2 linked regions of the Caenorhabditis elegans genome follow. The protein of the gene in region 2 purifies or fractionates together with the protein of the main gene of each other region. This does not show direct contact. Each region holds a gene or a part of one and is shown on either strand. Other genes may lie near its edges.

Region 1 (15,396 bases), on a different chromosome or scaffold from region 2:
TTCTTCTCGAAGACTGTAATAGTTGGGTATAATTGTAGTTGTATCCGATGGTCGGGGCACTCTGGAAATTGGAACATTTCTATTTTAAATTTGAAAATTTTAATTCACGATTTATAATTCTGATTTCGATCAAGTGATATCGATATTTTCCCATACTGACTTGAAGTTGACGTACTGACATTACGAGTGAAGGATACAAGACTATCACTTGATTTTGATGACGTGGCTTCTGGAAAATTTAATGGTTTTTTGAAAACTTTATGGCAATGGATGTGAAGTGAAATTCACCCAAAAATTACTTGTTTGATCTTCCTGGCAACAATGTATTAAAAAGATAATAAAATATAATTGAGCATAATGCTTTTTTGAAAAGTTTGCAACAATTTAATATTTATTTCTAGCCGTTTTTATCGTAGTCAGCTTCACATATAGACAATCAAGACAAGACGAAATGCCGAATTTTTTAGGTTTAGTGTTCAGCATGTTTAATTAAAAGGATAGTAACAGTTTTTTTGCTGATCGGGAATCGGTTTATTTCAAAGAATTATCATTGTTTTTCTCTGTTTTTTAAAAAGATTTCTACTTGTATTAACGGAACAAAACGCTTTAAGTGATTTCCCCTCTAAAAAATATTTTTCCAAACTTTTCTAACCTGACGATGACCCGGATTTAGGAAGTGATCTTCTGCTCATAACCGGTTGAATATTCCTTTTACTCCAATTCCATCCCTGCATCAAAACGCTCTCTTTAGCATTTGATGAGCTTCTCGAGGACGTATTTGAATCTCTTTGTGGTGCAAAAGTGGGTCCTCCATCTCCGGGTGAAAAGAGATGATTGCACACCGACGTCGTCTGTGTGCGATGATGATGTGGCAATGGTGACGTCAAATTTGCGCCCATTTTTTGTGTGAATTGTATTCTGGAAAGTTCAATAGTTAAATGTTTATGAGCTCGAATTTTTTATAAACACCAGGTAGACTAAATGGAATTGTTAGTGAAACTTGATACAACTAGAAAAAAAAAACAAGAAACAAAACCTTTAGGATTGTTATGATATCTTACTAAACTATTGCTAAATTTGATATTAGAAACAAAACTTCAAAAAATAACTCTCGAGAGCCTCAAGAAATTTCAAATGGTGTTAAAAACTTTAAAAATGTTTTCAAAACTACACAGGCTGAACACTTCGACTATAAACCTTATTTGAACTAGCTTCTTCTAAGTTTGAAGATGATGTCAGTCACCTACGCATTTAAATTTGTGCGTTAGATGTTCTTTTCAAGAGGGGAACTATCGCAATAAAGATTATAGTAAAATGCCCTTAAAATGAAAGCTGAAAATTGAAATTTTCAATAAAAATGTAGGCAAGTTTAATTTAAACAAAAATCATTGTGCTCAAACACGGGCCTATTACATCGGATTCTACGCGGAATTTTTTTCTGGTGATTTTTTCGCAACTTAGTAGTATAAAGTAAAACGCCTCTGGGTAATCTACTTTACTTCTAGAGAACACTGCCTCTGGCGTTTCAATTTTTTGCATGATAATTAATAAAAACTCACTTCACTCAAACATGGAATGTGTCGGTATTTTGAGGTGTTCGAAATCTGAAAATAAGAGAGGTATATAAAAATATCTATGGAAATATTGGAAGTAGCTACTGCAGCTGTCTTCAGTCAAGCATAATAGCTATTATGAATAGCTCCATCATCTCTCCCGTGTGCCGAATCAAATAATGACGAATAAAAAAAAATAGAAAGAGATAGGAGGCAATGAAAGAATGGAGGAAAAAAAGTTAATTGGTTTTGAAGCTTGCTCACTTTTTGGCTAGAACACAGTGCGGTCCCACCAATGACGTCATAGATGTTTCGCAATGTTTTTGGTTCTCCCAGTCTTCTATGTTCCCTTTTTGTGACAGCACATTTAGTGCCTTATTTTGGATTCAATTTTCAATTAAATGGATTCACATGGGAGGACAAATTGTGAAAGAATACGAGAAGTATTTCACATGATTACATGTATATACCGTATTTTCCCTACTGAACTAGCACCTTTTTAGAAATCTATTTTGATGGCTTATACGTATCTATATTGTCTGTGGTGATATCAAAACATGTTTTAATATTTTGTAAAAATTTTTGTCAATTATAAGTTTTTGACAAACTGTCAACGTGGAGCTAGAAGGGTGCAAGTTTGATAGAGAAAATGCTGTAAGAAAATGCGGTAACTTTACTGGTTAAGGGATGCACTTGAAGATTGAATATGACAAAGCCTGCCTGAAGGCGCAAAAATTCTTTGTGCGTACCTACTAGATCCTCCAAAACTTTTTGGCATCCAGCTGGAAATTGTTCAGTTTTCACACATCATAATTCTTGGTGTAGTCCGAAAACTTTTTCAATACAAAAACTCCACTGACAATACCTTCAATTGAACTTTCGAAAAAAACATTGAATTTTCAAAAAACATTGAGCAAACCATAATTTTTATTTTCATAGTCCCAGAAAATAGGCTATGAAAAATGTGACGGACCATTTTACATATTCTTGTTTTTTAGAGTCATGTCAGTCACAAACGTCATTTAGACACCACGAGGTTTTCTCGATGGGTTGATTTATTATAAGTTGAGAATTGGAAGATGACTTTTGCAAGCTCTAAAAATGGCGTGGACCCAAAAAATGTATTTCAGACCAAGTTTACCTAGTTTGGCGAAAAGTTGCGAAAAATAGTTTTTACAAGCCTTAAGTTGAAAATTAGGCAGATGATTGATTTTGTACCTTTAATTTTTAAGCTTGAGTGCATGTTTAGGTTTTAGTTGAATTCAATTTCACACTACTCATCAAAAAAGCGTTAGAAAATCCAATTTTGGTAACGAATAGAGAGCATTCACGTTGAAAATGTAATCAGCTCGGAATAGGGATCGTTGTGAAACCTAATGGAAAGACATTAAACATGAATGGGAAATTAAAGTGCATGTACTTTTTTAAATTGTAGTCATTAACATTAACTATTAACATAAATCCATTAACTTTCTCAAAATTTGAACATGTTGTTCAGTAAAAAGCTTGATAAATTGATAAATTAAATAATGGTCTTTTCGCGTTTCTAGGTTATTGTTGAAAATATAATTTGATTTCAACAAATAAATTGCAGCGACAGACAATATAAATTTTACAATTATCTCGTTCAAATTTGTTGTGACAAAAAATTTAGGACACATTAACGAATAAGAAACCTCTACCATAATGTTTCTTTATAGCAGTAAAATTCAGCTTTGTCCTAATTTATAAAAATCTACAACTCTTGCTCTATTCCTGTTGACAATTTTTCTGATAATACGGCATTTTCCAGAATTGCCGAATCAAAAATTGAGCATTTCTATCAACTTTTGTTCTTTTAATTTAAAAGTTGTTGTTTTTAGTTATCATTGTCTTTTTCAACTGATAATAGAGCTTCTATAAATGACATTCCAGGTAAACTAGAATTGACCTTATCACGCATGATGTCATACTTTCAAATGCCGTACTTAACTAGAATAAAAAATAAAAATGAGATCATAACCTGCAAAAAACTATAAAAAGGCGAAATTCTAGACAGCGGATATACATGTATTTGGAAGGAAGATTGGACGTAAGAGGAAGAAGAAAAATAAGAAGAAATAGTGAGCGAAAGCGTAGGGGGAGAAACAACGTGCCTTTGCTCCATCAGCATCGTCGGAGGAGCCCCATCGACATTTCAGTAGAAAGAAGAAAAAGAAGACCGAAAAAGAAAGAGAGAGAGAGAAGCTTCTTCTTTTCATGAGCCATTTCTTTCTCTCTTATCGTCGTTGCTCATCGTACGAGACGCAGAATATTTTGGACGTTGGGGACGACGACTTCAAATCGATTCAAGCCGCCTGACTCTCCCCCGTGTGTGGTTCTCCTTTTTAGAGCAAGTGCGGAGAGAGAGGGGAGTGAGTGGGGGCGAGCAACTATAGCATTGCTGTGCTCCCGAGCTCCTCGAGAAAAAAACGAGAATCAATAGGTCCTAGATGGATGGACGGACAAAAAAAAAAAACGAAAAGTTTTTTTTCGGCGACACTTGGGAATGGTGACGTTTATTCGGATGATTCCTCGTTTCATTTTTTCAGACAAACATGAGTGTTTTGGTATGGAAATTCTGAAAATCTGGAACATTTCAAAACTTGGTTTGTTTTGTTCAGTTTGGAGAAGGATTCGGCGAATTTTGAATCGAAATTTGAAAATTAGTTGTGGAAATATGTTTTATTTAAAAAACACCGTTCTGGTAAAAATGGTTCTTTGATCTTTGTAACTTAACCAAAATTTGTCGTGTCGAGACTGGCTACTATAGTTTAGAGACAAAGAAAACAACGTTTCGACACTTGGCGATAATTATATGTTGAGCTTTTAATTGAATTAAATGAAGTTTTCATTCCAATCTGCACAAAAATATGCTTACGAGAATAATGTATAGAGTATTTATATAGAGAGAAAAAGCTCAAAACTTGAAAAAACGTCTGCAGATTGTAATGTGTTTTATGTATGCGTCATAGGGTGTTCTGCACGTGTAGAACATGTTTCGTGTTGCTGGAGCAAAATGCAAAGTACCCCTAATTAGTTGCACTTTACAATTCCCTGAAACAATTGGACTGGACGAAGAGTCAAACTCTTTCTTTCTTTCGGAATAGTAATGACGACGCCAACGCAAACTAAATTTGCTCGTGGAATATGGTGTATTGAGTTGGTATGCCAACATTATACAAGTTGACCTAAAAACAATGAACGGCAGTTCAGAGAAATTGTATTATATGGACGCATGTCAAAAAAATTTTTCGTGTCGAGGCCGAGTACCGTATTTCTGGTGCAAAAATCCGTGTAATACAAAAAATAAACAACTTCTCCATAAAACAGAAAAAAAATTTCACGTTAAAAAAAACTAACTTTTAAAACACTAACAAAGGTCAATGTCGTCGATTTGTTATCAGACAATCAATCAATATGCAAATCAATTATTCTCGATTTTCGAAACTTGAAAAGCAACTCGGACCGCCCGTTCTTCTGCTCATCAACTAATAAGATGCCCTGGTGAGTTAAGATTTTTACCAACGCAGTTAATTCCTGATGTGTTCATCAAGAACCTCATAGAATTGACATTATGGAGGCACGCCAACGAAATCAGGCAGAATGTGCCCCTTACGAATTATCGTTTTCGTAATTTAGGCATTGTGCCCTGTCTTCGATGGTTCGGGTTTATTGTGCCCACTGATGCATTCTGTGCTCATTGCAAATGAACTATAAATTCTAAAATTTCAAAATTTCAGTCAAAAGAAGTCAAACCCAACGGAATTGCACATCTCCACTGGCCGCGAGATCGTTCAACGGAACTTTGTGTTCCGCAACACCACTGGCAAGGACTTCCTGCTGAAGTTGCATGCTACGAATGAAGCCGTCACCTTCCCAACGGAAGTTTTCCGTTTTCCACCATTGGCTCATCGTGCCATCCAGTTCCGTGTGAACTCATCAAAGCTCTCCCAATGGGACAAGATGAATCTTTTGATCAAAGGATACGTGTTGCCGATCTATGCGAAGAGCCTCAAGCAGTTCATTGATCAGAAGAAAACTGCAGGAACTAAGGAGCAAGAGGCATTCTCATTGTCTGTCAAGTTCACGGATCAGTTCTCGGCTCCCCAGACAGTCATCAACTTGCCAGGATATGCCACGTGTATCGAGTCGACTGATTATCCGGTTGACGTGGAAGAATTGGACACTACAACTGCAGTCAACATCGAAAGAGGTACAGATTGATGCTTTGGTTCAAACTAATTAAAATCTTTCGATTTCAGATGTCTCCACTGCTGTTCCAATTGGTTCAATGATGGGATTTGTTGAGGAGTACAAACGTCGTCAATTGAACAAAGGATGCTGGTTTTCCAACTACATCTGTGGAACTGAAAAGCAACCGGAGAAGCAGTCAATGAGATCTTCTCGTAGATCAAGCCGTTCGTCGAATCATTCTGCAAAGAGCTCAAAGGCTTGCCGTATTCAGGCTAATAAAAAGAACAAAAGTGATGTCAATGTGTGCCTTGAAGCAACTCCGTGTGGTGGATCAACTATTCAAGCTTAGATTGAACTGTGAATGGCACTTTTGTATGATTTAATGAAATTGACTTGGTCGGGTTTCTTGAATATTTTCAGTAGCTTGCACTAACTATAAGCTGAAACATGTAATGTTAAAGAGACAATTATGCCTCTTCCATTTTTGGAGATCATTACGTCGCCTTTCTTGGAATTTCAAGGAGGAATGAGGCTTCTGATAACTGTCTTGAAAAACTAAATGAAGTCACACGGTGTTTGGTAAGTTCAGTGGTACGGTGAATGTAACTTAACAATTTTCGAAGCGCCTACAGAAAGGTGTGCGCCTTTAAAATAATACTGTAGCTCCCAGATCTTCATTTTTACGAAAATTTCCATACATTGTCTTACAATGTTTTGCAATCACACAAAATAACCTATTTTCAGATCTTCCATGTTTCTTCCAATTGCACCGTCGAAAGTTATTGCCTTTTTTATTTTGTAGGAAAAATTGAATAACATTCAATCATAAATTTTTTTAATCATAATCATAAAATCAATGGGAAGAACAAAAAAATGTGAAAAGAGACAAAAAGAAGAAAATACAATTGTCTAATACACATTGAAGCACTAATATTTCGAGTATTTCAGTATAAAACGAGTCATCTCACACTTTCAATGCTTGGGAAACAAAGACGCGTCATGGAAAGTGGACGGCTGATAAAAAATCATATTAAAAATGGGAGAGTAGGAATAAGACAAAAAATAAAATTTGAAAAAGGGATATGCAAAAGTTGGCGGGATGAACAATAGAGGACAACTTTTCATGTAGTGAAATTCCTGAATTTTTTCCAGATAACTCACTGCAATCAATTCATTACAATTCTAGAGAGATTTTGGCATTTAAATTTTTTTGAAATTATTCGAAAGGTATTTCAACCGGAAAATCTGTGAATGAAGAATGGGGGAAGAACAAAGAAAGTAAAATGCTATAAAAAGCAAGAAAAATTATATTGTTAACGTGCTCTATAAGGAATATTAAATTTTGGGTGGTTTTTGTTTTGTGAAGAAAATTTTTTGTGAAACATGATAATTGAGCAATATAAAAAACCAAAAGCAATGCAAGATAAAAAAGTAAATTCAGCACTATCACAGGGGGAAATCGTGTTATTTAATATTCGATATTTACACACCAAATATTACTCCGAAATTTTGCGAATTTTCTAAACTTGGAAGTTGGCTGGCGCTGGTTCATTGTCATCCTCCTCTTCTTCTTGATTCGCAGCGTTTACCCGTTGTTCTGAAATTTGAATATTTAATTTTTGAGAATTCGCGAAGCTTTTTCAACTAAAACCTCCATCAAAGTTGTTTATCACACGCGAAATATCTTGCTGAATTTGATTTTGATCTCCATCCTCGTTATTCTTCAAAAAGAAACACATCGTTTTGTTCGTCGAATTTCTGATTTACACAGATATTCATTCATTTGGTTAGTATTTAGAAGAAGAAGCACAACTATTCTAAAAAGGTGTTCTTTTTGAGAAACTAGTTTAATTCTATAAATTTATGTGATACTAACTACTGAAAAAATGAAAAAAAGAGGAAGAAGCAGAAATAATTTTCAAAAAAAAACTCACAACACCCGTAAATACCGCTGGGCGGGCACATTTCGTGAAAAGTGTATCTGGGGATTGTCCATGAAGAAGTCCCACGAGAACAACCTGAAAAATAAATATTAAATTTTTTAAATGTGTATATTTCGTTAAAATTCAACATTTTAATTTAAAGTCACATGCCGTTTTTCTTAGTAGGTCTCACCACGATTTCAACTACCATAGTCTAAAGATCTTGCAAATTACTGTAGTTTTTTTTTAAATTTGGCTGATTTGGAATCTTCAAAGATTTTTATTGATTATCTTACAATTTGTTAAAATTTAAGTGTTTCAAATTTTTTTGTTCCAGTTTAGTTTCTCATTAAAAGTTTTAACGAAAACTTATGAAAATTTCGAAGTTTGAATTTACTGTATATTTATATTTCAAAACATAAAATAAAGCTGATAAAGTGTTTAAAAATTTATTTTTGAAAAAATCAAACTTACAGTCATATTATCGCATCCGAGACCACCCATCTGACAATCTGGAGCCAAGCACCGAGTGAGAAGCTCTTCGCAAATCTGAAAATGAGAGAGAATACGAGATATTTACTTTATTTTAATCAACTTACCGATTGTGGATCCCTCTTCTCAGCAAGCTTCTCACGAACAAAATCTACGACTTCCTGATTTGTCATTACATCCCAAATACCATCACATGCAAGAACAATAAACTCGTGATCCGGTGTCAGCTTGTCAGTGATCACATCCGGGAATGCTGAAATTAAAGAACTTTTTTTAATTTTTAATTTCAAATTATTCTCACCAGTGACAATTTGCTCCTCAGCAGGCTTTGTGTCACAATTTTTGAATGCAAAATCTCCGAGAGCACGGGAAAGTGCCAAATTACCATTGACACGATTGAACTCAACCCATCCACCGGCGGCAATGATACGTCGAGCTTCGGTTTCATGAGATGGCTTGTGATCGAATGAAAGTGGACGAGCTTCTCCAACAACTGAGGATACTGCACGAGAGTCACCGGCGTTTCCTGAAAAATGGAGAAAAATTAAAAATTGACATTTAAAAATATTAAATCCTGGTCTTCCCTATACAGTTTAAATAAATATTTAATTTCAACGTTTTTTTCTATGTCACATAAACAAATCTGTGAAGTTTGAAGCTTGTAGGGATTACTGTGGCTGAGATCGTGGTGGGACCCACTCAGAAGTATTAAAAAATCAGCGTACGATTTTTACAACTTTATGATACACAGTTATCACAAATGTGTGCGTAATCAAAAATTAAAATTTTTGAAAAAATATGGAAATGTGTTTTTATTTTCTGTACCAATAATTTTTCTCCTTTTTTAAAGATAACTTTTGTAATACCGTGAAAGTTCAAAATCTAATAAAATTTCGAACAATATGAATTCTAATACTGCAAAATTCGAAGCTTGGAAGTTAATTTTTTATCGATTTTTACTGAAAACTGTTAGTCTTAGTATTGTGATTTTTTTGAAAAATACTCAGTGTCTTTAACATTTCCTCAATTTCCTTCCATTGACGTTTCAAGGTCAAAGTGCAAATCCGTGTCTCTTACCACAATAAACATCTCCCTCCTTTATCAATACAACAACTGCTGTCGTTCCACTAACATCATCCTTTGTCTCTTCATCAACTCTCATCTGTTGATCCAATTCTAGGAATCCTTTTTCGATTGCTTCTTTCATATTTCCCTCGGAAAATTCCTTCTGTGCGACGACTTTTTTGTGAAGATTAATTCCGGAATATTGTGAAACTTTCGATCCACCGTGTCCATCGTAGACAGCAAAGAATGCACATTTTGGATCATCAGGAAGAGAAAGGAGATGTGTATGGGCATCTTCCATGTCTGAAAAAAAAGAACATTTAGAACAATTTATTGAACTAATTATCATTTTTGAAGATAGTGAAGCTAATGGATTTTCAAGTCGCTAAGTACCTAAAAATGATGAAAATGATGAAAATGAGCTAAGGAGTTCTGTCTGAAGAGAAAGGGACTAATATTCGCTGATTTTTTTTTTTAATTTAGACTAAACATTAAAACAAATTAATTTCGCTATGTTATTTCTTGATTACAAACGTTTAAAATGGAAGTAAACGCTTAACAATATCCTAAATTCCTAAATATCCTAATTTATTTTATCACATTTTTGCTCTGATAACTTTCTTACCAACTCTCCATCCCTGCATACAACTGCTACCGACCAAATAATTCTCATTGGCGCATGACGCCGACTCTTTTTTAGTAACTGGCTCACTGAGTGTTTGTCCCATACTTCTGAAAATTGATTTTTATTTTATTTCAGTCTAAGTGCACTAAACAGTACTTTCAGCGGGAAAATTATGATGTTTGAACGATAGAAAAATGGGAAAGAGATGAAAAGACGAAAAAAATGCGAAAATATTTGAACGAAAAATGATCGAAGGGGGCGTAAGGTTATCACAATTTCAATGCTACCTGTTCTTCAATAAGGAAAGACTGATAGAACGTGTGTCACGTGATCAAAAGATAAAATGGAAAGCGTTTCCGAGAGACAGAAGAAAATTATGGAATTTTTCGATAGTCTATTTTCCAACAAAAAAGAAGTTACTGATAAATTTTTTGAATTGTTCGAAAAATTGTATTATCACAAATTTAACGGAGCAAAGTTCAAAATCGATGATGAAATTTGCATAATTTTGAATAAAAATTGAAAAAGAATAGTAGTACTGTACTAAAGGCGCAACGTGGTTAGCGAGTGGGTCTCACGACGAAAGATCTACAAGGAGTTTATTTAAAGTATCAGGCCTGGTTTTCTAAATCACTTGCTCATATTTTCTTTTGGGAAGTTTATTTCCGAAGAAAAATTGCGAAACAACTACATGATGTTCCCAAATTTAAATTTCGATAATTTCAAAAATGATTCCCAATTTTCAAAAATGTTGTATCCAAAATGCCCGCCGCCGCCGCCGCCGCGACTATTAACCCTCACAGCAAATAAAGAAAAGTTGAAAAAATAAAACGGCAAGACAAGCACAGTGATTTTATTGTATTCTAACCGATAAAAGTTTTCGTCTCAAGACCACGTGCTAGCAGGAAAAAAACGGCGGTCGGCCGGGAAATAAAAATGTGACACCAAGTTTCGGTTCTTCTTCGTTGCGTCGTTGGACGTCCCCGCGTCGCATCGAAACAAACATTGATACCGAGACACAAAAAGTGACGAGAGAAAAGACCGACAAACGGACACTAGGCTGCCAGGCGAAAATCAATAGGTAGTGAGAGTGTGTGAAGGTGAGAGGCACAGACATTCCGTTTCTTCTGTGACCACGGAAAATCACATGGCGCTGTGCGGGGAAACCCCCTCATGTGCGGGAACAACCCGATGCAGTTGCGCTCTAATCGACGTATGAAAAATCAAGGCAGTTTATCACGTTGACCAGGTTATCATTGGGGGAGAGTGATCAGAAGACTACAAAGGTATCGTTGTTGTTAAAATTGTTGAAATTCAAAATTTTAAAATAGCAACAACAAGTATTTTCAATAATATATGCTAGTTCCAGTGTACTTGTCAATAAAAATCTAGAAATGACGTGATTGTTTTATGTTGCTTTATGGAATTTATCATGTAAAATGTTCAACAATTTAGAAATAAATGTACTTAAGGAACAAAGCGATATATGAAACATTGAGATAGGAACGATGTATCTGAGACACAAAACCTATAAAGACCAATTTTCAAACTATCGCACAGATTGTGTAATAAATGTCACTGCAATCTGTGTGATGATGGTTTCTTACATTCAAATTATTATCAAGAATAGTGGTTTGGAAATTACGGTTGCCAAACATGCTACTAATGACGCACATCAGGTTTCTGGATGAAAGAAAATTTGAAAACTGAGCAAGCTTAGTTTAAAGGTGGAATACGGTCAATTGGGACTTCATGATAAACCTCCCAAATGAGATGACAGAGCAAAATATTATCAGAGGTTAGAAAAATCTCCAATTTTGGTCAATTCACAGTTATCATTAATATTTACCCTCGCCCATTTTTTTGGTGCCGCACTTGAAGTTTCTCCATTTTGGCTCAAATTTTCAAGTGAAAATTATTTTTGTTGAATTTAAGACATGAAATAAATGTTTACACAGAAATGATACCTTTTTTTTTGAAAATTGGAGACTAGACGAAATTTTGAAAAATGTAATTTGTTGGGTATCTACGTGTACCTAACCCTCAACGTGGATATGAAGATCGTGTAACGTGAACTCATTATCTATGTATACTAACTTTCTATTCATTCCTTAGTTATGTAATAATAAACTACTCGTCTTCGCCTCCTTGTTCGGCCTCGAATATATAACATTATTCAAACGAGAACATCTATCACAATTGAAAATGTGCCAAAATTAGCAATTTCCATCAAACTAGATACAGTTGTTTTGTTTTTATTTTGTAGTATTTTGGCATTTTGCACTAGCGTTATTCCTCCTTTAAACTTCAATTATAAAATCACATATCTAAATTTTCAAAAAAAATATTTTAGCAATTTGCAAATAGAGACACAAGCAATATAAATAACCATCAAAGCGTGGATCATGTTTTGAAATAACTGTAAAAAATGACAATTTTAGAAAACATTTACAACATCATTCTTTAACAAAGTTCCAGAAATGCAACAGAAAGGATGTCTCATTGTGAGAGTTGATGTTATCAGTCCTCACATGAACATAATTGACGTCTCATTTCCGGTTATGACGAGCAATTTCGTAACTCTCGATTTCCAAAACTTTCGATTTTTCCCAAATATTTAGTGATTCATATAACAATAACCATTCTTATTTTCATAATTCTTTGTTTGTGTCCCGCTTCTTTTTATTATTCTTTAGCAGTTATTTGTTCAGGATTTCTCATGTCTTTCGTATAAATTATATTCTTCACAGTTTTGGATTCTAAAATGAAAGTGTCTGGTAATACTTTAGTTCTTTCGATTTATTCTCGTTTTATTCTTTTGATCACGTTAAGCTATGCTGTAAGTTTTCTTTTTTAAAGATATTCTGTATGAAGCGGGATAGAATTGTTTTGAATTTTTTAAAATATTTTTGAATTTTTTCTCATTTATCAACGCGACTCCTATAAAAGTTCACTAAATTAAAAAAGTCTTATTTGTTCAGTGTCCTCCAAGTCTTGATAGTTTGAATCTTCCACCACCAGTAATTCATAGAGAATGCCTAACAAGAAACAGCTGCCAAAATGGATATATCTGCCGATTGAATAGATGTGTTGGTGGAAGAGCATTGGCAAGTAAAACTAAATATGTGAATGAAGAGGTAGGTTCTTTTCTAGTTTTATTGAAACTATGAGAAAATTCTGTTTTGAAATATGTATTTAAAATATTTTTCGGAATTTACGGAGTTTTGTTGTTTCTCTATTGTTTAACTTTGGCAATAATCTGCTTTTGAATAATTTCAAAAAATCCAACTTCTTCAAGATTTTTTCTTCAAAAATATTCAAAAAAAAATCTCATGAAAATTAAATAATCCCACTTCAAAATTCAGGAATCCGAGTACTCGTTAAAAATGGAACAATGTTGTGTGGATAATTTACTTCCGGAGAGATGCATGGGATTCTGCTCATTTGAGACTTATAATGAATCTTCCATCTTTCGACTGCTCGCGGAGCCCAGAAGATGTCCAAGTTCATCACTTAGAACTATTCATTTTTGTGCATCTATGAATATGGATCACACAGAATGCTGTGAACAGGCACGTTCGAAAATGTATTTATTTCAATAGAAAAGTTGATTCAAGAAACTCGCACAAATTTATCTCGATAATTCAAGATAAAATTTTTGAAGGTTTTCTGTACAGCTGTAAAGTTATCTGAAACTGCAAAGTTCTTTAATAATTTGTCGGAAACATTGTTGAAATTTCCTTTTCACAGTTGCCAATTTTGTTTGCCAAAATTTGGATATTTAGAAAATTAATTTAACAATTATTCAGCAAATTAACAATTGTTGACTAACATATTCAATTTATTTAAAAACTTTAGTTTTTTCCGTATAGCAAAGTAATAGTACAGCATATCCAATAAATCGGTTTTATTCATCAAATTTTAAATTTTTTGCAGAGTCGTATACCATCAAATTGTGTGGATCTATGTGCTCCTTCTGATTCGGAAGTTCGATTTGATGAATCAAAACTTCATTGTCTTCACTATCTTCCAATAATGAAAGAATGTTTTCAATCAAATTAAAATTAATAAATAATCCCTATTTCCTTGTTTCTTAACCACTTAATGCTCATTGAACCTATTAAACACTGTCGACTCCGGCATCCTGTCAAATCGAAACACAAACAAACACATTCGCATTGATCTACCGGAAGAGATCCGGGCGATTTGTTGGCATGGCTATATAATGTGTGCAATTCAAACATTCAATTCAATATCACATTTTGATATGAACATAAAGTATTTCACTTTTCTTGTTGCTTCCGTACTTTGCGAGTTCAACCTTACAGAGACGTTGGCTAAAAATGGTAGGTTTACCGGTTTTGTCTTTGGTTTTTAATCTTTTGCATTTTTAAAAAAAATTTTTAACAGTATCATAAAATAACTGCAATATTCTCAAATATTTTCTTTAACATTTTGTTGAGAAACTTGCCAACTTTGAATAATCGTTTCGGTTTTTGAAACGAAACATCATTTTCCAATTATGCAATTTTTAAACTGTTCCCTCCGAATTTTTTTAAATTCAGCTCATAACATCTTAGGTCCCACCACAAAAGATGACAAGTTACTGTAAATATCTCAGAAAAAAAAAAATTAAAATTCGCACAAATGAATCAGCCTACAATGAATCTATACATTTTCCAGAAAGTTCACCTCTTGTGGATCTTTCGAAAGTTGCCCGCGACCAAGGAGCAATTGTAGTCGCCGCATTTCCAGCAGTATCTACAATTAAAGCAAAAAGTAAGAAAAAATTTGGACTGGGAGCTTTTGAAAGGGGATATACAAACACTGGTGCGACTTTTTCAAGAAGAGGCAGAAGTGGAGCTTCAACTGGAAATCCTTATGCATCGTGAGTTTAACTTTTTTGAAGGAAAACGTTTGCAATATATAAACTTGTTCCAGTGGATATCAAGGGCTCCCTGAATCACAAAGCAGTCTGCCAGGAGATCGTGTAGGTGGAATGACCAGAACTGGAAAGAGAACTTTTGGAAGTTATGGTAAGAAATATATTATTTTAAAATCAAACATTCATACTTATTCCAGGAAGCGTCGACACTGCAAAAGGTCAATCCTCGGCTCATAGAGCAGGAACCGGTTCAGGATGGAGAGGATCTTCTCGGAATGACGGAGAGAATGACGATTGGAATAATGGAGATCAGAACAATAATAACAATTTCAACTCTAAAAACAATCGAATGAACAAATATGGAAATAGAAACGATGGAGATGATTATAATGGAAATGGGAATAATCAAGACAATTGGAATTCGGGATCAAATTCTGGAGGGTACAATGGTGGTGGTGGAGGATCTGGAGGAGGATCTAATTGGAATAATGGTGAATTTTCAATTTTTCCGATACATTATATTTCATGAGCAAGCTTAGACATCTTATGATAATGCTCGAAACACGGAAAATATATCTTTCTTTTCAAGTCGCCTAATGTAAGCCTATCTTTCTAAGCTAGAAAACACTTCTAATTTTC
Region 2 (17,456 bases):
GATCCCTTGGAATCTAAGCTTCTGTATTTGCTGATCTATCAGAGTACCTTCTATCAAGTCAAGAAAAAACCAATTCTGCAATACTGACATCATTGGAGACTGCATCCTTCTTTGTAGTTCCTCAAAGCTTCCTGTTCTGAACGTTCAACAATCATGACGCATGAAGATTAAATATCATTGCTACTTGGAATCTGAGTAGCTTGAACCAATCTGAAATACGCTTCACTGGGTATCAAAGGTACATTTTAAAACATGACAAAACTGTTAGGTTTGGCAAGATTGGTTTGGATTGTGGGCTTGGTGAATTATGTGTGGTTTGAACAACTGGTGTGGCCTGTATGGCTTCTACCGCCGGAAAAAACAAAAAAAAACAATTTAGTCACAGCTACCGAGGATCTACGCCTCCCTCATCCTCCCTGGCTCAGTTGGTACTGATGATCTGATGATCTGATGATCTGATGATCTCATGATCTGATGGTCTGATGATCTGTTGATCTGATGGTCTGATGGTCTGATGATCTCATGATCTGATGATCTGTTGATCTGTTGATCTGATGATCTGATGATCTGATGATCTGATGACCTGATCATCTGATGGTCTGATGATCTGTTGATCTGATGGTCTGATGGTCTGATAATCTGATGATCTGATGATCTGTTGATCTGTTGATCTGATGATCTGATGATCTGTTGATCTGTTGATCTGATGATTTGATGATCTGTTGATCTGTTGATCTGATGATCTGTTGATCTGATGATCTGATGACCTGATGATCTGATGTAACATTCAACCGAAAGTAACTTCCGAATTTATCCCGCCGTCTTCGATGTATTTCTGTTTCAACGGTGTAAATCAGTTCTGACCTTGAACCCTATTAATTTGGGAGACTTGAAATCTCTTCTAGTAAAACCCTGTGGGGTCCCTGATCTCCAGATCCCCTGAATCTCCCAGCTTCGACACACATGATTTTCTCACGACGTTCCATCCGAAAACGTAACAAGACCATAACGCATGAAGATCAAATAACGTCATTCTCGTTTTTGACCAATTCCTTGTTTCTCATCACCAGTGATGATGACCATTCTGCTGCCTCTCTCTCCAAGTCGTCACTGCTGTACAGCCAAAGAAAAAACTTTCGATTTTCATACACTAATCGACCCTAAATAACTAGACCATCACAAGCCAAAAGCAAGAAGGAGGCCATATTTTCTTTCTCTACTATTTTTTTGGTAAATTGGAAATGCAACAATTCGAAGGATGGCTCCAAATTAAACAGTTCGGCATATTCTTCCTTGGTGTTGTGGTTGGCAGCTTTTGTACGGTGAGTGTTTGGGTACGGTAGCACGGAAAGTACGCAAACACCGAATCCTTAAATTCTGAGAAAAATCAATGAAAACCTGGAAAATTCATATATTAATTCCTATAAGTTTAAAATGTTTTTTTTTCAATAACTTACAAAATTTTTTATAATTTTTGAGAGCTCTCATTTCAGTAGAGTAACTAGACTCCGCCCGCACCGGCTTAGGCTCCGCCCCTTTCAGACCCCATTTTTTAAAGTTTTTGAGAAAACTACAAAACTAAAAAAGCTGCGAAACTGTTAATTTTCGAACTTCAATAGACGAAAATTTTTTTCAAGTGTCTGAAAAAAAAGTGAATTGAATAAAATCAATATTTGGCTCCGCCCCTTTCAGACCTCTTTAAGTTTTTGATGGAAAATGCTCAAAAGTTATTTTTAAAAAACCCATTATTTCAACTTCAAAATAGTAATATTTCATTAAGGCCGCAAAAGCTTCAAATTTGGGTAAAATTCAGGTTAGGCTCCGCCCACATCAGATTAGTCTCCGCCCCTTTCGGACCCATTTTCAGAATTTGGGAAAAAAGCTCTGGAAAAGGTTTCTTTTTAATTTCAAAATTTTAAAATATGATTTCAGATCTAAAAATTTTAATGTTCTGAGTATAGAAAAAACGAAAAAAAAGGAAAAGAATAGGCTCCGACCCATTTTCGTGTCGAGACCGAAAAATCTTTTTTTCGATAAACTTCAAATTTCGTAAAACATGTCTTTGTCATGATTATACTTTTTTGTTGAAATCTCTCAGTTTCCCGAGTTCAAAAAACTTAAAATTTTTGAGCTCAACTCAAAATTTGACTGAAAATTTCAAATTCCAGATTATTCTCTTCTTCTACGGATGCTTCAAGTCCTCCACACTGTCGGCGAAGCCCACTGAGAGCTCCGGGGATTCAGGGAATTCTGAAGATATTGAAAGTCAAGAAACACAAAGACCACCAGCTTATTCATCATTAAAGTAAGGTTTTTAAAACATTGAAAGTTTTCAAAAAAAATTTTAGATTCGACAAAAAGCCGAACACATGCAAATGCTGTCGTGTGCTATCAACAAAACTAAATTCAAAAAATGTTTCAAAAAAATAATAAAAAGTGATTCTCTCTGCCTTCTCTGTGTCTCTCAACACCCCCTCCCTCTAACATGAGCGACCACAGAAGCTTTTCCATTAATTTTTGAGCAATGTTTCCTTTTTTTTGGGATCGCTGCTCAGAGTTGTAGAGACAACTTACGTTTTTCAACCTCTTTTTTCTGCGGAAAATTCTGAAAAAATCGATTTTTTTTCTGGAATACTTTGAGCATTTTTTGAGCTTTCTGGGCTCAATTTTCAGCCAATTTTTAAATTTCTAAAAAACTTTTTTTAAAAAGAATTTTTCGTCTGTTTTGCATGCTACTTTTTTTCAAAAAATTTGGGGCAAAATCCCAAAAAATTCCGCAAAATTACAGAATTTTATGGGTGGGGGCAGCGGTCTGCTGATAAACTCCAATCGGCGAAAGGGCTCGAGTTCCGGGTTTGGATGTGAGGGATGGTTTTGTGATTTGATGGACGGTGCAATGGTTATGTTAGTGGTTATGGTGAGTTGGGTTTTTTCATTTAAAAATCGATTTTTGAAACAAAAAAGTATTTTTTTTTAATTTAAAAAGTTGAAATTATTTAAAAAAAACAATAACTTTTTATAAAAAAATTTCTCAACTTTAAAAGTATTAAATCCGAGTTCAGCAAACCAAGAGCTTTAATTTAGGTATAATCATGACCAGGCTCCGCCCCTTTTGAGTTTATGCTCCGCCCATTTTAAGCCATAACACCCGCCCAATTCCAGGAAATTGTCAACACGAAAAATCAACAGTTCTGAATTTTTAAGCTTCCTTATTAGGCTCCGCCCACTTTCAATTTCAGCTCCGCCCACTTTTGGTCCTGCCACGATTTATGGCAAAGACTGCGCTCATTTTAACAAAAGCAATGCAATATTCTTGATTGCCAAAAAATAAATTTTTAAGTTTTTTTTAGGTTTGTAAATTCCCAGGCTCGCCCAATTCTGGGTTAGACTCCGCCCTTTTTTTGTAGGTTATAAAATTCTCATTTTCACCTTGAAAAGTGTTTATTCCATTTTAAATGTTTTGATTTGATTTCCCTCTTGTTTTGACTCCGCCCATCGCAGGTTAGGTTCCGCCCACTTATTGGCTCCAGCTCAATTTTCAAAGCTGACGGATCCTAGTCATGATTATACTTAAACCAAAGCTAATACTGAGATAAATAAGGATTTGATAATTTCATGAAAATTAAATCAATAACCGAGGAGTTTTAAAAATCTAAAGATATATTTTGAAATATAAATTTCGAATATTTTTTGTGGAATTAACAAATTCCCCAAACAAAAATTTCCAGGTTATCGCCACAGCTCTCATAGGCTGCCTAAAAGCCTGCTTGTGTAAAAAACAAAAACAATTGCTCCGTGAGCCCAAGCCAACATCAGAAGCGGCGCAAGAGGTGCCGAATGGTCCAGAACTACCACAAATCTCAGAGGCTCCGCCGCCAATGTTACCTGTAGTGATTGTGTTGGAAAATCCACCAGAATACGCAGAAAACGATCAATATATGCCTCCTGCTTATTGTACCTTGAGGTAAACATTTAAAGTTAAAAATTTTTTATTATTTATTTTAGAAAAAAAATCCAAATTTTTTTTTTCCAAAATTTTTTTTTCAGATTCAACAACGACGAAGAAGCCCAAATATAATAGGTTTATTGATTTTTTTTTGTTTGTTTTAATTATTTCAAAATTGTTTTATATTAAAATAATAATACTAATAAACAAAAATAATCGATATATGTATTTTTACACAAAAATTATATGTATTTTCTTACTCAAAAATATTCAAAAAATATTCAAAAATAGGAACCGGTGTTCACTGGGATTCGTTCTACAAAACTAGAGTTTACAGGGACATAGGGACTACTGTAAGTACTTTGAAAATGGCAAAAATAGCTCTGGAATGAATGAACAAATTGAGATGTGGAGGAAGGGATACTACAAAAACTACAAATATTGGTGGGCGGGGTTTAAATTCGGACTGCTCCGGCATCGTCACTATCATCTGTTGCAGAGGTGGTGTATTCGTCGATGCATTGGTGGATTAGGGCTTGTGGATTCTGGAATTTTGGAAAATTAATAAATTTTTAGTTTTCAGCCAACAATTTTGTTGGAAACTGGATTTCAGATAATTTTCACTAAAAAATTTGAATTCGGCATGCAAAGAGCTTTGATTTAAGTATAATCATGCCTAGGTTCCGCCAATAATAGGGTTAGGCTCCACCCACTTCTTGGCTTGTCAAGAAGTATTGCGAAATTTTAACGAAAAGTGTAAAAAAAACTTGTGAGTTTTGAATCAATTTAGTGTTAAAAAAATTAGATTTTCTGCTATTTTTAGAAAAATTTCCAAGTATTCCCTAATATTTCGTGATAGGGCCCAGAAGTGGGCGGAGTTAAAAACCAAAATGGGCGGGTCCTTGGCAAAATTAGAAGTAAGTAATTTCAACTCCGGAAACACGATATTTCGTGAGGTTTTGGAGAATTCCCTAGTATTTCGCCAAACTTGACGAACCATTAAGTGGGCGGAGCCAAACTTAAATTTCAATGTAAAATAAAACTCACCGATCCGGTTCTCCTGTGCGTTTTGATGCTCATTTTGACCGCCTGAACTCTCATCTCATTATCACTAAGCCCATCGGACCGGGTGGCTCCAATTTCCAGACTTCTCTCCAATGAGCTCATCATAGTACTCTGAGACGTGTCAATTCGATATCGAAGATCCTCAGATTCCATAGAAGTATTCAGAATATTATTTCCATTTCCCTCATCTTCTTCCGAAGATTCAACATCAGCATCGTCGGAGCGGGATCGTCGGGAATCCATCGATGACGTCAGATCCACGTCATTTGCGTTTTCCTCGTCCACCAGCTCCACGTGGCACGGGTTACTGTAGGTGGTGATTGGTGACGTGTAAATCGGGTTCATTGTCACATCACTATTGCATAAAGCCTCGTCGTAGGACGTGGACTCTGGCAAGTTTACGATTTTTTCCAAATTTTTCAAATTTTTCGGAGATTCCGGATCCACGAAGCTCTCGGCATTTTCAAAATCATTGTCATATGGAGTTGGGCTCCGGGCTCTAGATGATGACGTCATCGGCACAGCAATTGATTTTGCTCGCGGAGCACGGGCGTGAGCACAGCAGCAGCCGTCTTCGAGCTGGTGAGGAGCATTTCGAGATGGATAGGATGAACGGTTGAGCTTTGAGCTTGAACGGGCTGAAAATTAAAGCTTATTTAGTAAGTTGGAAGTTTATTGGAAAAAAATGTAGTGTTAGAATTTAAAGAAAAGGGCAGAAAACCATGCAGTTAAACAACCTCAAAAACTGGTGTGGCCTAGAAATCTAGCTGGTGGTCTAGAATTTTTTAACCTAGGCCATAACCATATTTTTCCAGGCAAGACCTTGAAATTTGCAAAATTTTAAAACAAAAATTACTGCGAAAACTTAAAAACTGTCGGAGTTATGAATTTTCGAAATATTTTTGCATATCTTTTTTTTCCAAAAAATTAACTTTTCTGCCTAAACTTCCAAATATTTAGAGCTAATTTTTATTACATAAAAATTTCCAAAAAAAAAGAGCATTTAGAGACGTATAACCCTGACTCCGCCCATTTTGGGTCTCGAAGCGAAAATTAAAGTTTTAGGTCAAAACTTAGAAAACCAGCCATGATTATACTCAAATGAAAGCTCTGAATTTTCCATGAAAATTATGAATTTTCCGAAAATTAGGATCTTTAAGGGTAGTTTAAAGTTACTGTAGAAAATTTTAAAAATTTCGAAAAATTCCGAAAAATTTTTTAATTTTTAAAATTCCGAAAATTTTTGAAAATCCATAACTCTGTCAATTTTTGGTATTTTCAGCTCAATATTGCCTAAAAATGAAGATAAACTTTTAAACTTTTTCGGAAAACCAAATCGATCTCTAGCTACAGTACCCCTTTGTGGTGGGAACTAACTAAAATAAAGAAGTCCCATGCAAAAAAAAATATTAGAAAACTCAGAAAAAGGAAAGAGCATGCACATACGAGAGGAGCAACTGATCACACCGTGTGGGACACGTGACGGGCTGTCACGTGTAAAGAAGACGGGCTGTCCGGGGACTGCAGTTGACTTGTTGACTGACGTGGAGACCCTCCGACGTGAAGCTATGCGCCCGTCCGACCAGCGACCGTCACCGTTACGGTACAGAGTTTGGGAGTAGCAAACCTGGAAAATTTGAGGAAAATCGATAAACTTTGAGTTTAAAAAAATCGAAATTTTTCGAAATATTTGTGCCAAAAATTAATTTCCTCCTCACCTGTTGTCCTCCACCATTAATAGCTGTGCAGCTACCGGCTCCAGCGCTCCACATCCCGGAATCCTGAGAAAATCCGGAATCCCTGGCCGGTGATCCACGGGCCCCACCCAGCGTCTCCCAGTAGGACCCTGAATGACGTATGGCGTCGTTGCGTAGGATTTCTGAAATTTTTCTATTTTTTTTAAATTGAGGGGACCAAGAGCTTTTAGAAATGTATAATCATGTCGAGGTTTTTGGAAACTTGATTTTTTTGCAAAAAATTGAGGTCTCCCCGCGGAAATCCCGTGGATAATGTAGCCAAGTAGTTATAAGTGAATCAAATATTTTTGCCAAGTTGTTCATTAACTTTGCTATATTTTGTAATACATTTTTTGGAATAATCTTAAATTCTAACGAAGTTATGAATTTTCGAAAAAGGTCTAGAATTTAGATAAGTTGAACTTTGAAAATATTTTGAAAATCCACAACTTTTTCAGTTTTTAAGATTTTTCCCTGATTTTTAGCTTTGTCGAAAGCTTAAATGTTCAATTTTTCAGGGAAAATATACTCACTTGGCGGATTCGCTCCCTCGCTTCTCCTCGTTTGCTGTCCAGCACTGCTCCGGCTCGAGCTTTGCCTTGAGAACGGAGAGCTCTGAACTCCTGACGAGGAGCTCGTATTGGAGCACCTATACGGAGATCCTCGGCACGGTTGAACATCTTCGTCAGACGACATATCATCATATCCCTCATTCGGGTATCCACGTAGCTGTGCTCGCGGAGCCGCCACTGCCTTCGGGCTGTTCTGATTGTGCCACTGCTCCCGTTCAGTCAGATCTTTTTCCCACTCGGCGAGCTCACTTTCCTTGAGTTTCAGCTCTGTGAAGCAGCCTTGGAGTTTGTCATACATTTTGTTGGTTCGTTTAAGCTTCATCTCGTACATATTTCGGATGTCCTGGAAGAAATTGGAGTTTTAGGTTTACAATTAGGCTAGTTTCAGGTTTGGTCTTAGGCTTAACTTTAGGCTTAAACTTAGCTTTTAAGCCTATAAGCCTAGTTAAAAACTAATAGAATATTTCTAACCTTAATATGATTCAATTGCTCATGCCGCTTCCTCTGTATTTCCTCCTCCATCGCAAATGCGCTTTTCGGTCCACCATGATCCCTGGTTACTGTAGACGGATACTGTATACATTTCGCGAACTCTCTGTAAGAATCCCATGCCAACTGCCACTCCTCTTCAGTCATTTCGAAAAGTTCCGGCTTGAAGATCTCCCAGTGTTGTCGGATGTGGGAGAATGAGGGACGATTGCGACCTTTTTGAGATAGACATTGCTTGATGAGAAGTACAAGACCTTTCGGAGCTTCTTCTGGCATTGGAAGGCTCAGAATGCTGAAAATTAAAAGGTTTTTAGGATTATTAAAATGGTTTTCTGGACATTTGGCTATTTGAATCTTCAGAAAAAAAAACAGAAAATCAGGGAACAAACTACAACTCACTTTGTTCCAACACCAAAAATGATTGCCATCTGAGCAATATTTGCGTATGGCGTCTCTCTGGTGAGCATCTCCCAGAGCACAACTCCAAATGAGTAGACGTCGACTTTTTCGTTGCATGGCTGTTTTTTTATCATTTCTGGGGCCATCCAGCTGAAAATGTTGAAGTTCATTACAACCAAGCTTAGGTCTAAGATTAAGCCCAAGCCAAATTTAAGAACCCTAAGCCTAAGCCAAGTTCCAACTTACCTAACAGTTCCACAGAATGACATCATAGTACTATCCATTTTCTTTTGCATATGAGACGTTCCAAAATCACAAATTTTAATTGAATCTTCAGCGGAGATTAGAATATTGGGCGATTTGAGATCCCTGTGGATCACTTTGTTCTGATGCAAATAGTGCATTCCATCAGCAATTTCCTTAACCCATTGAGCAAAAAGTTCTCGGGTTATTGTATTTCTTGACTTCAATACAGTACATAGTTGTCCTTTTGAGCAATATTCCATCACTATACAGTAGCACGGGCTCTTTGAGCAAACTCCGAGAAATTCAATGATATTCTGGTGACGGAGATGTCGAAGATGCTTGATCTCGGTCTCCTTCAGTTGATTGACCTTTTTCACAGCGACAGTTCGGTTTTCCAGCTGACCACGAAACACTGCTCCCTGGCTCCCGGAGCCCAGCCATTCAAGTTCGGAGATAGCGTCGAATGGGATCTCCCATAGTTCATCCTCGGATTTTTCACTGGAAAATTGAATTTTCAATCAAAAAAAAAATATTTAAAACTCACATTTCAACTGTAGTTTTAGTCCCGAAATATCCAAAAACTGGCTGAAAACACGAAAAGAGCCCATTCCTAAGCTGTCCGAGCCCATCTGCGTAGAAGCTGTTCAGGCTGGGTTTCGACGCGTTCCCGGTCGCAGCCACCATATTTTTGGGATCTGGGGATCCTGAAAATTTTGAATTTTTAGTGGAAAAAGATCACGTTTTCTTTAGTATATTTTGATGGAAATGTGCGTATTGTTTCGCTGAATCAATATGCAGTCGGCAAGTGATAAGAGACAGTGTGGGAATGTGAGAGAGTACAGAGAGATGTCAGAGAAAAAAGTGACGTGTGTGCGGGAAGCGGTGGGGATGAGAAAATACACATTTGGCGGTTTTTTTTGCAAAAAAAATTTGGAGATGGTAGAACACGAGGGAAAGGATCGTCGCCGAGGAATGCGCAAAGGCACGAGAAAAGCGCCAATGAAGTTGCTGGCGCATTTATCGTGCATTGACGTATTTTTGTCTATTCGTAGATCAAGTGATTTAGCGCATTTCTCGACAGGGGACAATTGTTGAAAATCAGGAGGAAAGGCAGCATAACCGCGCCGAGGCACAAGAAAAGCGCAAAGAAGTGCTGACGCATTTTCAGTGCCTTAACGCACTTCTAGTGTTTTGGCGCAGATCTCGTGTTTTGGCGCTTTCCTAGTGCCTTTGCGAACTTCTACTTACCTTCTTTCTGTCCGAACTCCGCGTTCGCCTGCTCCCGATGCTGTATCGGTGTGTTTGGAGCACTTTGTGTCACAAGCTCCGACCCATCCGGACTCAGGACTACTGTAGAGAAGTCGGAGGACTCCGGTGCAGGACCCGGTTGTTCTTCTGAAAAAAAGGAGTTTAAAGGGAAAAGTTCGTTGGATCGAAGAAAAACAAAAAGTTCAAGTGTATGTATTTACTGCCGCGCGCACATTGGCCTGGTGGCGCCATATTGCGATTTTTCACTCTGGTTTTCTCTATGTCTCTCTTTGCTGTGATTCATCAGAAACAGTTTTTGATCGGCAAAATATTTTTTGAAAATTTTTATCCCAAAAAATTCATTTTTAAGGTGCCCCTTCCCTCTGCAAGAGCAGCGATTTCGCAAGTGCCTTTCCGGGTCCCTTGAGCTACACGTCTGACTCATTTTGGCTAGAGCAGCTCAACGGGTCCCTCTTTGGCTCATTGACGTCACGCGAGTCGTGGAGCACACGAAGCACAACAAAAATAGAGTCATGCCATTCGAGGCGACAACAGGAGACGCAGAGAAGCAGAGAGCCGGGCTGGGCACTCGCGGAGAGGGGTTAATTAGTTTGGGAATGAGGCTTAAAATAGAATTTGGAACTTTAATCAAGACAACTTGAGAAATACAAAAAAATAGCCGTTTTTACCTTAGAAACTCAAAATTTCAGCTAAACCTTTGCTTTTATTGTATGTATGTTTTGATGGAAAACTGATGGAAAACAACTATTTTTTTGCCATTTTCGTCTAATGTTGTCAAGTTTTATACGAACGTTTGTCAATTTGTAGCCAAAAAATAAACATCAGTAGTAGTTTTGGGTAAAAATTTGGTAAGTTTTGATCTAAAAACGACAGTAATTTTGCTCAAACAGCCCATTTATTCTGCAAAATTATCTAAAAAGTTATGCAACCTATCTATGACTTATGCCCATAAACCTATAAAAAACATCATATGGTCAGAGAATTACTGATAATAAGGCGTCGCCGTCGTCTCACTATTTGCATTCCCCGTAAAAACTTCCACGTGGCTTACGCGACGTCGATTTGCCGGCGGCGGGGCCGTGTCTTGGAGAAAAGCGCGGAGACGCAGATATGTCGGGGGTATGGGATGAGGGGTTTAACGTTAGGTCAAAATTGTGTTCCACGTGGAAAACACTAACTCAAAACAGCTGAAACTTAAAGCTAGCAATAGTCAGTCGATGCACCATGATTTTGGAACCCCCAAGTTTGATTTGCGCCGTAAATCGATGCACCATGCCCCCCCACAAAAATTGTACCTGATGTTGGTGTGACCAAGTCGAGAGTGGTTACCATTGTGGTAGATGTCATTTTATCTGAAAAAAATAGTTTTTTTTAAGCTTGGCAGTCAAAAAAGGTAATTGCAAAACGGACAAAATCAATGTTGTATCGGAATTGAGGACGGATGACGTGATGCGTATGAAGAGAAAGGGAGAGGATCCGGGGCGATCATGCGCGGTGTACAGGAATTCAAGTCGTCGTCTTCTCTGGGGCGAAACTATAGATCAGTTCAAAAATTTTGAGATTCGAGACGAGATGAGTTCAACTCTCCACCACGGGAAAATTTTTTTGCAAATTTTTTCGTTCCAAAAAAAAGGAAAAAAAAAAGATCCAGAAAAAAACAAACAAACATTTTTGTCGCAGTCACCGAGGACCTAGGTCACACAAAGCTTCTTATTTTTACGAGCAACACCTGAAACTAAATCAGTCGTAAGGCCCTAGATTTATAACGTTAGTACTCACATAAGTTTCTGGGGCAAACTTTCTTTGCAGGCGACTCTTGTCTGCTCTCTTCCTCATCATCAGCAAGGTAGTCATTAGCAAGATAGTCATAAGCAAACTTGGCAGCCCACACAAGCTATCGGATAAGTGTCAAGAGACATTGGAGTTCAAAAAGTGGCTCTGATAGAGCACATGACCCGGTAGATAGACGAAAAGTTAGTACTAGGGAACCTTAGTTAGTACTAGGGTACCTGTTATGAGGCACAGGGGTCTGGATTTCCTCATTGCAGTTTTGCGCTCCATTGACAATCGTCTGCCGGACAACGCGTGGGAAAGTCGCGTACACCATACGGGCAGGTACATTTTTTTACAACTAAAACCGAGCCGCTACGCGATACGCAACGCGCCGTAAATCTGTTCCAGATATGGCCGAGCCAAAATGGCCTAGTTCGGCAAACTCTTGCATTTTAATTTATGAGGGAATCCCGAAAAAAAAACAAAGTAAATTTAACAAGCACTTTTATATATGTAGTTAGTTTTTGAAGCTAAATACTCCTTACAATTAGTTCCCCAAAACAGTAAGGTTGCCTAGATTACGGTGTACCCCCTGCCGGAAACTGTACCTCCAAAATTGAATCTAAGTAATGTTGAACCATATAACCTATCTCTGTTGTCAGTGGGGCACGAGGAAGACCCCTTCCCTCAACCCCATCGGGAGGCCCCCTATAAACACAAAAAATGACAAATTTCTACAGTGAGTTAGCGAGAAGACTCTCTTATCAGCAAAAAAAAATAAGAACTGAGCAAACCGATAGTAACATTTTCAGGGCGTGGCGGTGACCGTAATCGCGGGAGTCACATGGAAATAACTATGAATTTTCAGATGAGGGTGCCTGGCTCCATGGCAGGCGTGCTCCGTTGCCATGCTACCTCGCCACACACACATACACAAACATCTCAATCGGAAGCTCACTTTTTGAATGCTCTAAGAAGAGGGAGGAAAACGACCGGAACATGAGAAGAAGAAGGGGAAAAGGAATAAAAAGTGGTAGTTGAGAGGGAGTGAAAAAGGGATTATAATTGTGGGGGTGGTGGAAGGGGGTGAGGGTCAAAAATCTTTACTCGGCTGAAAATCCTTACTATTAGCCCCCGTTTTATTCGAAAAATATAGTATTGTAAATAAAAATAAGAACGAGTAGCCACTGCGTCATCACCTATTTGAGTTAGTGCGTCAATGTGATAAAAATAGAAATTATGAGGGAGAGAGAGAGGGTAGTATAACTTTTGAGTCGAGAATGTTGGCGAGAAGAATTGTTATAAAAAAAACTACTAAAAAGTGTTCAAGGAGGAACACTTTTCCATAACTCTGGCCACACCCCAACTTGGCTAGAGTTTTGCCGGTAGTGAATGACCGGTAGGGTGATAAAGGACAGTTCACCTTAGGGGCCGAAAGGGGCCTAGGGTTTTTGGGCCTGCACAAAAGCTTTTGCGGAAGGCATAGCTCAAACCTGTTGAAACTAATAAAATCTTGAAATAAATGAACTTTGTTATCTGAATAATCCAGTGAAAAAGATCAACAAGTATATTGTTAGTTGGATGTAGGTCCATGATCGCGTAAAAATCTAGGTGGCTATAATAAGTTTAGTCTTTCCAACGCTGAACCCCTATCGTATATAATTGCTCAAATTACATGGCTCAAAAAAAATGGAAAAAGAACAAGAAGCCACTACGTCATCACAACATTGTTGCGATAAAACTGGAGGGACATGATGATGTTTCAGGAAACAAAGTATATTGGGTCTAGAATTTTAAATTTTACAGTGCTTAGCTTGTCTGAAAAAGGTGCGGAATTTCTGGGCAAGCGCCTAGAAGTGCGTCACAATTTTTCCCATAAAAAATTCCCGCATTTTTTGTAGATCAAACTGTATTGAGACAGCCTGACACCACGTTCTCGAAAGGTTATTTGGTTTTTAAAAATGTTATACGCTTCAATTTTCACCTAGAAGATCCTCACGTCAGAGCTGAGTCTCTCTAAAAAAAGTGATTCTAATTGTAAGCCTAGCAACCCAGTTTTCTTCCACAAAAAAAAAACGACAATGAATTGTTCTAGAGAATCACCTCACCGTCTGCGTCTCCCTTGGGTGCCCGTAGAGGACGATCACCTGTTTGTATGAGAGGGGCAAACGTGTGTCTTTTCTATTCACCCGTCGTCGCTCTACATGTTTGAATTACTCATCAATGCAATTTTTGATTGAAAAGAGGTACTAGGCGAAGGAAAGTGAGCATTGGTTGTTATTATTAGATTATTAAAGTATGGAAAATGTTAAAAATTTGTCAGTGGAGAGATTTTTTTCGAGAAGGGCTAGAAAAATTATGAGGAAAGTTAAATTACTGATAGCGAAATAAAGATTGAAGAACTACTGGAGAATGAGCACATTTCGACCTTTCAGCCCATTTCCAAAGCCCCTAGAGAAGCATAAAAATCGATTGCCCAGCCGCGTCACACAAGAAAATGACCACCAAAAAGTGTCGTGCCTCAACGTCTTCTGGACTAGAAAAAAGCGAAAAAAAAGATGAGGAAAAATGTGGAGAGATGGGAGAATGAAATGAGGGAAGCGATGGGGGGAAACCGCCGCGGGGGCCCTTCCACGCTTCTTCTCTGCGTCTCTCCAAACGGCGGTCTCTTGAAGTTTTCTTGTTGTCTCTGCCTGACCACACGTTTGCGAACTCCCGGGCCGCCGCTTGAACTTGAATCAGGTAGTTTTCGGAGGGGATGAGAGAACAGGTGGATCAACAAGCGAGGCCATTGGCAGCGCGACGGAAATGGATTTTTTCAAGGTTTGCAAGTTTTGTTTGGAAAATGCAGACGACTTGGCGCGAGGTATTTGAAAAGTGATAAGGTTTTTTTCCCGGAAAATTGGTCACAATTTGCAGAACTGACTCATTATCAGCACATTTTAGTAACGATTTTGCCAAAAACTATGTAAATGCACTTGGAAATGCATATGACGCTTCTTGAAGTTCGTATTGTTTGCTTATTGAAGGTTCTCGTAATTTTTGAGGTCCCCAATGTTCTTTACTGGCCTTAATCAATCTTCTACAACCTGGCTACTCCAAATTGGTCCGCCCTAGGAACCGAACGGTACCTTCCGGTGTCACTGTTTTCCCGCCATTCACAGTGACGAATCTCATCGAAGATTGATGATATCTTTGACAGTTCTCCGAGGCAAACCGGTTTTAAAAACACATTGGAATTACGAAATCGGAGCGTAAAGAGTAGAAGATGAAGGAAACAAGTGAGGAGATTGATATGAGAAAAGGAGAAAACGATTAACAAACGCGCTAATTCTAACACTGGAGACAGGGATTAAGGGTGAGGAGAGAGTTGCTAATTCAAGCAATACTTGGGTAGAAGCCGATAACTGGACGGGAAAATTTTTTTTCATCAACTAGTAAAAAATTGCACAGAATCCTATTTTGGCATTTTTTAAAAACTATTTTTGAATTGCATTTTCTCAAAGGTAACAAACTTTTTCTCATATAGAAAATTTGGGTCAAATTGATTGATCCAATTGGTGGGCGGCAATTGTTGTTAGGCAAATTTTTTTTCGATAAGTTCGGCAAATCGGCATATTGCCGGTTTGCCGATTTGTCGGAAAATTTCAATTCAGACATTGCCGGTTTGCCGATTGTTGGAAATGTTTAGAGGGATTTTTTATAAGACGGCAACACTTAAAACTGTGCCTTTTTGAAATTTTTATCTCGTTATCTTTAGATATTTTCATAGAATTTGTTTGTTTTCAAAATAGCTGTAGAAACATTTGTGGAATTCGTACAATTTTGCCGATTGAAATTGAAATTCTGAAATTACAAAAAAAAAGTGCAAAACCACAATTTGCCAAAAAATTTTTGGCAAGTGCCGGAAATTTTCAATCCCGGCAATGCGCCAATTTGCCGGGAACTTTTAATTTCGGTGATTTGCCAATTTGCCGGAAATTTTAATTCTGGCAATTTGCCGATTTGCTGGAAATCTTCAATTCCGGATATTTGCCGATTTGCTGGAAATTTTCAATTCCGGCAGTTTGCCGATTTGCCGGAAATTTTCAATTCCGGCAATTTGCCGATTTGCCGGTTTTGGGCCCTAGGTCATTGTCAGCTAAAGTCCAAAAAAAAACGAGAGAACGGATTATAACTGGCATAACTAGTATAAGATTATCATAATCTGCTGCCAAATTATATCTAAAAGGTTTTCAACCTAACTCCCACGAAAAAAAGAGTAATTGTTTGCTCCAATATTTGCTTAGAAAATATCTCTTATCACATTTAACAATTTCGCAATCACAGCGGCGAAAACACAAATAAGTGTAAAGATTTCCGAGAACTGAAGTTGCAAAAACGGATAGAAAGCCCGGCCAGGAGGGAAGTGAGGGGGTGAGGCAACTGTTGCCATGAAGAAAATAATGATGAGTCAAGTGATTTTTCGCAGGGACCATTGACAAGCGAGCACAAAGACCGGAACCGGTGCATAATGCTCAGGGTGGTCTTTGTGCTTGAATGTCAATGGTCCCTGAGTTCCAGGTTCCTGTCGGAAGGTGAAGCCCGGGAGCCCCTAACTTTGAGCAAAAATACAGGATAAGCTCTCTGAAAAACAAAGTAGAAAAGCTGTTCTTGTGTTCCGGGCGGGAGAACCAACCGACTAGATAAGCTTTCTATGAAACCATGAAGAGAAGCATTCTGTCAAGAATCTTCGAGTAACTTTTTGTTTATTGAAAAGAGTTCACAGACTTTAAGATGTAAAGATTAAAATAGAGGTAGTGGAAAAATGTAAAGCGAGAATATTAGGTCCAGCGATTATAGAAAAATTACTCTGCAGTACAAGCAGAAACTAAATTGAACTCTTTTACTCCACCAATTCGCCGGGTGCGCGTGCTGATTCGGCGACGGCCGAGTCTGCGATTGACTCGAGATCCGAGAAGGAGTCCGCCATGGCGATTCCTGCAATTTTTGATGAAAACTTTATACTTGAAATGATGAAACTTACTTGGCACGATTTCGTTAGCTTCATCAAGGATCTCATCGGGGATCTGGGGTGGAAGGACCAGTGGGAGACGGAGCTTGAGTGCTGAAATTTAACAAAATTACAGAGGTTCACATACAAAAGCTCACCGAAGAAAATGGAAGTGGTACTTTCCATTTTGTTGCACTTGCTGCAGAACTCTTTCCAGACCTCTCCGGTACGATTGTTGAAGTTCAAGTGGACAATTTTCTGATGTGTCTCGTCAAAGCCCACAAGCACTCTTCTGCGAAGGCGGTGACAGTCCACACCGTACGACTCCTGAGTGTGAGTCACATCATCACAAGGGAAACGGCGACGTTCGAGCCAGGTGAGCTCAAAAGCCTTTCGGCAGATCTCGATATGATTGAAGCTTCTCGGGCGATTGATGTCACAGATGATCTCATCGGTGATGCTTCTCATCAGGTAGCAGATGCCAGCCAGGTACGTGAGGCCATTGTAGTTGAAATAAGTCGCCTGGACTCGGTCAGAGATCAGATGGTAGGTCAGGAATCCCTTAGCTTCCTGGTCGATCGGCTCGAAGTTGAATGAGTCTCCCCCAGCGAGGAAGTTCTCGGCGGCCACTGAAACTGTGATGGCGTTCATAGGGATCACGTAGCCCCTGAGACTGTCATCCTTCAACACAAAATGGATAAGCTCATGACCAAGCTTGTAATCCTCCGCTGGCACGGGAGCCATCGGGTTCTCCGTGCAGTTGAATCCAACAATCTCATGAGCCATCCATCTGGTTGCCGTCTTAAGGATCGGCCAAAAGCGGGGATAACCGAGCACAGGATGTTCCTCGTGAGGCTTCTCGGCGTTGATCATGATGATCTGAGTTTGACTCGCCTTGTTGCTAAGTTCAACGGGCGGCTCGTAGGGAAGAGCATCGGTAGTAGAGCTCCTGTTGCGCAAGGCGTTGA

The links.
Region 1: the proteins of dlk-1 (region 2) and ppm-2 purify together in Caenorhabditis elegans (affinity purification with western blotting, with the first as the bait; one study listed by BioGRID). This does not show direct contact.

Annotation. Positions count from the first base shown.
Region 1 is NC_003281.10:4,645,077-4,660,472, reverse strand, and holds ppm-2 (putative protein phosphatase 2C T23F11.1), read right to left. Parts: upstream 9,980-15,396; 5' UTR 9,976-9,979; coding exon 9,873-9,975; intron 9,551-9,872; coding exon 9,260-9,550; intron 8,709-9,259; coding exon 8,484-8,708; intron 8,436-8,483; coding exon 8,290-8,435; intron 8,240-8,289; coding exon 8,165-8,239; intron 7,787-8,164; coding exon 7,703-7,786; intron 7,490-7,702; coding exon 7,420-7,489; intron 7,366-7,419; coding exon 7,289-7,365; 3' UTR 6,587-7,288; downstream 1-6,586. Other genes in the region: cdka-1 (Cyclin-dependent kinase 5 activator 1), read right to left, coding at 1-61, 109-229, 653-899; T23F11.2 (Major sperm protein), read left to right, coding at 5,071-5,078, 5,315-5,787, 5,837-6,117; dbd-10 (DB domain-containing protein), read left to right, coding at 12,637-12,711, 12,854-13,009, 13,238-13,444, 13,809-13,934; pqn-29 (Prion-like-(Q/N-rich)-domain-bearing protein), read left to right, coding at 14,140-14,218, 14,556-14,760, 14,814-14,908, 14,955-15,248.
Region 2 is NC_003279.8:12,561,728-12,579,183, forward strand, and holds dlk-1 (Mitogen-activated protein kinase kinase kinase dlk-1), read right to left. Parts: upstream 11,075-17,456; 5' UTR 11,070-11,074; coding exon 11,018-11,069; intron 9,849-11,017; coding exon 9,702-9,848; intron 9,158-9,701; coding exon 8,998-9,157; intron 8,952-8,997; coding exon 8,454-8,951; intron 8,358-8,453; coding exon 8,208-8,357; intron 8,101-8,207; coding exon 7,791-8,100; intron 7,663-7,790; coding exon 7,281-7,662; coding exon of another isoform or gene 7,246-7,280; intron 6,891-7,245; coding exon 6,730-6,890; intron 6,639-6,729; coding exon 6,458-6,638; intron 5,650-6,457; coding exon 4,994-5,649; intron 4,492-4,993; coding exon 4,402-4,491; 3' UTR 4,079-4,401; downstream 1-4,078. Other genes in the region: C49G9.2 (uncharacterized protein), read left to right, coding at 1,242-1,322, 2,169-2,305, 2,349-2,430; mec-19 (uncharacterized protein), read left to right, coding at 2,795-2,917, 3,729-3,964, 4,048-4,078; F33E2.10 (DUF4817 domain-containing protein), read right to left, coding at 16,381-16,475, 16,522-16,602, 16,647-17,456. UniProt on the Caenorhabditis elegans protein: Component of a MAP kinase pathway that functions presynaptically to regulate synaptic architecture and presynaptic differentiation. Phosphorylates and activates mkk-4. Has a role in axonal regrowth following injury and synaptogenesis.